2 linked regions of the Ovis aries genome follow. The protein of the gene in region 1 purifies or fractionates together with the protein of each later gene. This does not show direct contact. Links are inferred from orthologs where the notes say so. Each region holds a gene or a part of one and is shown on either strand. Other genes may lie near its edges. The genes, in order: PTPRR and MAPK14.

Evidence for each region.
Region 2: the proteins of PTPRR (region 1) and MAPK14 purify together in Homo sapiens (affinity purification with mass spectrometry; 4 studies listed by BioGRID and IntAct, counting the BioPlex papers as one, with this or other methods). This does not show direct contact. The link is inferred for Ovis aries from reciprocal best matches to the Homo sapiens genes PTPRR and MAPK14.

Annotation. Positions count from the first base shown.
Region 1 is NC_056056.1:149,058,758-149,062,573, reverse strand, and holds part of PTPRR (receptor-type tyrosine-protein phosphatase R), read right to left. Parts: intron 569-3,816; coding exon 455-568; intron 1-454. UniProt on the Homo sapiens protein: Sequesters mitogen-activated protein kinases (MAPKs) such as MAPK1, MAPK3 and MAPK14 in the cytoplasm in an inactive form.
Region 2 is NC_056073.1:10,093,609-10,097,524, reverse strand, and holds the start of MAPK14 (mitogen-activated protein kinase 14), read right to left. Parts: upstream 2,711-3,916; 5' UTR 2,709-2,710; coding exon 2,593-2,708; intron 1-2,592. UniProt on the Homo sapiens protein: Serine/threonine kinase which acts as an essential component of the MAP kinase signal transduction pathway.

The sequences.
Region 1 (3,816 bases):
TAGATGCTGTCTGGAGACAGAGTCTTGCCTGATACAAAACATTTCTCTCTTAGGGAGAATATTTTGGGAGGAGTGTCAGATTGGTGAGACAGGTATTCAGGGCCTTTCTATTTTTACCTACCAGGGTAGCTAGTCTTGAACTATGAGAAAGTTGACAAACATTTTCTGTAATGGACCAGATAACAGATATTTTAACTTTCAATTTAGACAGACGATCTGTTACAACTACTCAACTCTGCCATTGTAGCATGAGAGAAGCCTTAGACAATATGTAAACAAATGGCTACGGTTTGTTACAATAAAACGTCTTTGACAAAAACAGGTGTTATGCCAGATTTGGCTCATGAGCCATAAAATGACAGCATGGGTGTTCTTTATTATTGTTCATTATTCTTGAGCCCTGCAATAAAGATCAAAGCTTATACTCCGGAAATGCGAAATGTAGGTATCTTACAATGAGGCGATTGATGTGCACTTGCTGGGGTAAGAGTCCTAAAGCTGCAGCCACTCCTTGGCGAAATATCCGAAGCAAGGTTATGTTCAGCCTGTTTACATCCATTTGCAGTGTCTGGAAAATAAAAAAATTCAAATTATAGTAAATATTTGATTTTCAACATTCAGTTCCTGATGGATGACTGACCACAGAAATTCCTGTGACTCTGAGAAATTCACAGCCATGGTGCTTTATTTTATTTTTAATGGAGATAAAATTATAGGGACGTTTTACATGAAATTTTAAATGGTGTTAGTTAAGAAGATGGTACATTGTATAATAATGTGATTTGTCTAGTTATAATCAAGAATTCATATGAATGATCAATTCATAAAGAATTTCACTGAAACGTGTACTGATTTATTTTGCTTTAAGTCCAGATGATAAAATGGAACGTGCAGCCAAGTACATTTCAGTAATCCAAGCCAGAGGACATCTTTAATTTGTGTTCACACACAGTCACAGAGAGGAAGATTCTGTGTAAGTTCCATAACACCAGACTTGGCAGTTTCTCTATAGAGCAATTTGCTGCCAGTGCAAGGCAAAAGAATGAGCTGCAATGATGCGTTCTCAAACTCTGGTAAAGAAATCAATGGAACTGATAATTCAGTCTAAGGTAAATAATTCTTATTCAATTGCTTGGGCACACACTCTTAATTTTCAAATAGCTTTGGAAAAAGACAACTAAGTATTTAAGAATTCCTAAAATATAAACCAAGGTGTGCAATTAATACTACATCCTTAATTTAAGCCATGGGTGCTGTTATTACATTCAAAATCAGTTAACTATGTATTTTCAAAAATGCATCATAATCACTTGAAATGGATGCTTTGCAAGGTGGGGAAACAAAGCTCATAGGCATTTCTTATTTTATAACGCTTAATTCCCTAATTTGACCATAGAAGATTAACAGTAACTGTTAGATGACTGCAATACCATCTGTTCTATAAAATGAGGTGCAGGTCTATGTACACACTTTTGTGATTAAGCGATTGGCTTTAAGTGTAATCTACTGGAGTGTAAGAACTCTTAGAGGACCTTCTCCCAGTTTGCTGTGGAAGAAGAATTAATACTGCTTCAATAGTTTATAGCTTTGTTAGGAAATAGTAACTTCTCTATACGTAAAGTTGGTACAAAATAAGTGATTGGAAACTGGACCAAATACTCATTGCTACAGGTGGCGCAGCGGTAAAGAATGTGCCTGCCCAGTGCAGGAGATGCAGAAAACGTGGATTTGATCTCTGGGTCAGTAAGATCCTTGGAAGTGGAAATGGCAACCCATTCTAGTATTTTTGCCTAGAGAATTCCATGGACAGAGGAGCCTGGTGGGTTATAGTCTCAGTTCAGTTCAGTTCAGTTGCTCAGTCGTGTCCGACTCTTTGCGACCCCATGAACTGCAGCACGCCAGGCCTCCCTGTCCATCATCAACTCCCGGAGTTCACCCAAACCCAGGTCCATTGAGTTGGTGATGCCATCCAGCCATCTCATCCTCTGTCTTCCCCGTCTCTTTCTGCCCTCAATCCCTCCCAGCATCAGGGTCTTTTCAAATGAGTCAGCTCTTCGCATCAGGTTATATATAGTCTACGGGGTTGCAAATAGTCAGACACAACTGAGCACGCACACACACACATACACAGAAATCAAAGGGAGTGGGGGAGGTCAGAAGAAGTATACTGGTTTCCAATCAAAATGTACACCCAGCTGAAGTTTATACTGCTTTTGCACCTTCGAGTCTTTTAACACTTGCGTAGGGACAGGGGCCATAGGGCTTGGTCATGTTAGGTAGCTGGAAGACTCCTGGCAAAAACCAGAAATCCAGAAAAGGGAAGAACTATTGAAAAACTCTATCCAAAACCCCAACTATAAGGTACAGTTTGCTTCTGGGGAGGGGAAAAGGAGAATTTTGCTGGGAGTATGTAGGAAAGCTACATTAATGCCATCAGTAACAGACACACAAAATCAAACAAAAGCCATTTAATGATTCACAGTTGTTTGTTATGTTATTCTCTGTGCTTTTCTATGGTTTTAAAAATGTTTCCTTTATACAAAAATACACTTTGATGCAGTGGTTTCCTAGGTGGCACAGTAGTAAAGAATCCGCCTGCCAATGCAGGAGACACAAGAGATGTGGGTTTGATCCCTGGGTGAGAAAGATCCCCTGGAGGAGGAAATGGCAACCCACTACAGTATTCTTGCCTGGAGAATCCTATGGACAGAGAAGCCTGGCAGGCTACAGTCCAGGGGATCACAAAGAGTTGGACACGAGAGTGACTGAATACACACACTTTGATGCAGAAAGTAAAACTGAAGGATGAGTAGGATATGGAAATGCAGTAATGAGAAAAACCTAATACTTTTAAGCACACTTCATGTTTTATGAAAACATGCTTTATGGAAAATCCAAAAGATTAGAAAAACTAAATCCATCTGGTAGCTCTGAGAAACAGAGACTTCCTTTTATCTAACAGCTTACTTTCAGCTCTGCAAAGCTGTGGAAGCTGCCAATAGATATTGGACCTTGTATTGGAGACTGTTCACTCCCCTTCCTCTGGAAAGCCCAGAGATGGGTTCCTCTGTTACTGCAAACACTGATGAGGAGCCACCGACTTCTGGCTCACCAGCAGTGTTTGTCAGGCAGGGTGAGCAAGCAGGCACAGCCCTTGATTCCCATGGGCATGATTTGGAGCCAACAGTCTATGCTGAGAACTGCAAGCCAAGGGGGTTGTGTACACACTAGAGAGCTCAATTCCCAGGGCCATGATTAACTTGAAGCTTGTAACTGTGGAAACAGTATTAAAGTCTAAGTTTCTCAGATTGAAATGGCAAATGGATGTGAAATGGGAACTCGAGGTTTAAAATCACTCAAGATGGCAACATTCCAAGAAGGTAAAACTGTGCCTTTGAAACAGAAAATTTAGACTCCCTAACTAAAATGAAGAAGTGAGTTGAAGTAACTGGTTAAAACTCCAATCATCCAGTTCATTGGATCAAAATTTGAATAATTTACCTCAGTTCTCTGCTTGCCTGTGAAAAGCTGAACTGATCTCAGAGCACATGCAAGTATTTCTGACTATTCACCATAGAACAGTAATTCTAAAATACAGTACCAACAACAACAACAAAATGTATTGGAAGGCCTCTTACATGCCAGACATTATATACAATTACAATTGGAGAAAAAGAAAGGGTTCTAGACAAAATGAAAATTTCATTTCAGGGAAAAGAAATATGACTTCTTGTAATAAGAGAATATATGTTACCTTCTTCCTCCTGGAGAGATGCTAGAAACACACAGCCTTTTCTCATCCTAATATGTTAGATC
Region 2 (3,916 bases), on another chromosome or scaffold:
GTTATCATACTTGCGTTACTAGATACTTAGTACAAATGAAAACACTGAAAATTGGCTTATTATTTAATTTTTAAAGTTAACACATCAAAGTGTATCACACTTCAGAGCAATCAAATTAGGAAACTGACACATTATTTCAGTGATGTTGCATTCCTTGAAATACTTTCAGAGATTCTTTTTTGGAACAGACTTCAATCCAGTTCTACAAGTCCCACAGGAAATTCTGTGTCATTACTTTACGGTTACAACTCCTATTTGACCTCAAACAGTATCACCAGCCTGGCTGCCTGATCTTTTTCACCAGACTTGAGCCCAAATTCTCTAAATGATTTGGATTCAATCTAACTTCGTTATTTCCTAAAATCAAATCTGCTCTAAAAAAAAAATGAAGAGAGTGAAAAATAACACAGGCTCCAAAGTGGATTCTAAGAGAAGTTTAAAAAACATTTTTTTTTTCTGCCACACCTAAAAGCTGCTGACTGAAAGAACAACTTGAAATAACTACTCTGAATGAGATAACACATGTGAATGTAAATTCTGATATTTTCAATCCAAAATCAACTATACTTGTTTACGGTCAACTGTCACATAATATTGGTTATTTTTCTCCACCAATATGTTATAGGTTACACCTTAAACAACCTTAGCAGAACTGCCTCCACAGAAAGACACACAAGAAACTTAACAGGGGTGGTCTCTTGAGAAAAGAACTAGTCCAGCTGGACAAAGAGAATGGAAACTTTTCACTGTCTTTCTATGCCTTTTACATTTTATACAATGTGAATGTACTACCTACTTTTAAAAACCTGTTTAACAAAATTACTTCCAAGTGTCAGTTTTGATGGCTTCTATAAACCAGAAAAATAAAGCACTAAAAAATGTGGAGTTCATGTTTTATCAGCACTTCACTGGATCTCCAGTGCCAGGGCTGAGTTACTCACATCAACTGTAGGGAAACCTTGCAAGCAGTTCACTAACTCCCCACAGTTGAGCCGTATCACTCCACTAAAGTTTAAACAACAATGATAGGAAACAAAAATTCAGTACCACAAAAATTAATGTGTCAATTCCAGAATGAAAACTGGCCGTAAACAAGTGAGCTATTAAAGCAGCAATGATCCAAACACATCTTCGAAAATTAGCGAATCAACAGCACGCTATAAAAATGGAAAAAAGATGTCAAGCATAGGGCCATCAGCGACATCACTCAAGCAGCCTGAACTAGAAAACGCAATATGATCTGTTGCTGGACACAATTGCACAATCTCAATTACCCAGAAGATTCTACCAAACAGGAAATTCATGCTGGGGCTTTAAGAAACACAGGAATTATATTCAAAGATTACCAAGTCTAAAAGCCTGGAACCTGCCCCGAAACAAAAAACTAATTTTGTAGACCTCTTTGCAAATAATGCATGCACAGGAATTACATGAATTAGCTTCAGGTCAGCTCTCAAATTACACAAAATCTAAAATACAGTGTATAAAACCTTAGAAGTTAGAAAAGTTAGTGAACTGAGTCTGGAAATTTTACAGTAGCGTTTCATTTAAAAGACATTCATAGTGTGAATTAAAGCTGAAAAGTGTCTCTTCCTTCTTTTGCTATATATTCCATATCCCATGAAAACCATTATGTACCTCTCAGGCCTTAAGTGCAGATTAAGTTCTCTGCAAACCCTCTAAAGGACTTTAAAAACACAGTGTTTCACAAGAATTATCACGATTAAAAAATATTTATAATACATCGCAGCATTGTTAAAAACTTTTTGATCTTGAGGGCGTCCAACGGATCTGAACCTCACTTGCTCCAAAGGAGAAAATCGTTTTGTCAAACAATACTTAAATGAGCAGTGGTATGTGACTAATCAGCGAGGCCGCCAGCTTCTCAAGCTGCAGGCACTACCACCACCCCCCACTCTGCGAAAAGGAAATACGCTTTCAACTGAATCGGAAACACACCACTCAAGCTGGCACAGGGCTCACCGAGATAAAGTCGGTATTTTAAGCTCCCTGGATAGCTGCTAATTCAAGTGCGAATTCAAAAAGAACCCTTCTCAAAATGCAATTTCGACAGAGGTTTGCAAAAAAGCCCGAACTCAACGCCCTTCGTCCTCAGTTTTGTTCAGATGACCGCAGTCGAGCTTTGCCCTTCTGCTTCTCCGGGCAGCTTCCCGGGCTTGTCTGCTCCGAGGGCAGGCACATCTCGAGAGAGTCCTTCTGCTCGATGCCAGCAGGGAGAGACCTCCGAAGAGGGACCCCTGTTCCTGCCCCCGTAGCAGCACCGCCCCCCCACCCCCACCCCCACCCCCAAGGGAACGCGCAGGGTGCGAGTCAGGGCCCGGCTCCAACACCATCACCCACCGCCCACAGCGGACCTGCGTCCTACACACAGCTGACCATCTACGTGGGCGTGCAGGGTGGGGGTGCAAGGGGGACAGGGAGTGCAGGACAGGGGTCGAAGAGGGCTGGGATGCCCTCCCCCCAAGGAAAATTCCTGCCGCTGGGTGCATTGCTGAGCCGTGGGGGCAGGCCTGACTCCAGGGCATACGGAGACACCCGGCCCAGCGAGGCCCCCGGCCCGGTGACACTCACCACACAGAGCCATAGGCGCCGGAGCCCACCGGGGACAGGTTCTGGTAACGCTCGGGCACCTCCCAGATGGTCTTGTTCAGCTCCTGCCGGTAGAACGTGGGCCTCTCCTGAGACATCTTCCAGCGGTGGCCGCGGGGCGAGGAGGTGGCCCTTGCAGGGCCCCGCCTGCACCCGCACCCGCTTCCCCTGACCTCGTAGCCCGCCCGGCCGGGCGGGGACCCCTGCGCTGGCCGCCCGCGCAGGTGCGGCTGCGGCGACCCTGAAGAAGCCCGCGCGCGCGCGCGGCCCCTGTCAGCCGCAGCGGCTGGACGCGCCTCACCGACGGCGGGGGAAGCACTGCGAAGGGCCGGGGCACGCTCCGGGGCCCTGGGCTGGCGCCCCGCCCAGCTCTCCCTGCGCTCTCTCCACACCCGGCCGACTCCCGGCTGCGCGGCGGGGTCACAGCTCCAGCTGCAGCGCCCGCGGAGCTTCCAGTGGTCGCCTTTCCCAGAGCCAGCGAACAGGAGCCTCCCGCCGTGCTCTCGCGAGAACAGCTCCCGGACCTCTCCTCGAGCCGAGATTTTACCCAATATGGAACCTGCCCGCGGGAGGGGGGTTGATGAAGGGAGAGCTTGGGAGAAGTAATTCTCGCGAGAAGAGAGCAACAGCTGGCCCCTAGAGGCAGGAACTCCCAGGGATTGCTCTCCTTTAGCGCGCGAAGGCGGACCCGGGAAGGAGCGGAGAAGCAGACGATACAGGCCGCGCGCGCCCCATCGTGGTCGGCGGGGCAAGTGCTTGGCTCCCTGTTGGAAAGAGACAGTGACAAATCAATCGGGTGTCTGGGAAAAGAGCCAAAAGACCTTTAAACGGTGGGTAATCACCAGCAGCTGAGCACCTGCTCGGCGGAAAACCCCCAATTTCCAAGAAGTACTTGCATAAAAAAGAGAAAGATTCCGGCCAGAAAGCCGTTGTAGTCCCATCTGCTCAAGGACATACACTTACTCTTCGGAATGCTGACGAAATCTGTCTCAAAGGTAAATATTAGCCCTGAATTAAGGTTGAGGTTTTTCCACCCAGACACTTCTAGTAGTTCTCAAACTTTTACGTGCAGAAGAAGCACCTTGGGCGCTTAAAAATGAACAGCGAGTTTGATTAGATGGGTCCCAGAGGGACTCCAAGACTGTGCATTTTTACAAAATGCGCCAGGTTCAGAAAAGTTCTTGGTATCTCCCTTGGAGAAACATTTTAAAACCTTTACCCTGAAGGTTTGAAACTGATTCCTACCTTGAAGAGCTTCCAGCAAAGAGGGTTTTAAGAATTGTAATCATGCCTCTCAGAGTAAGAA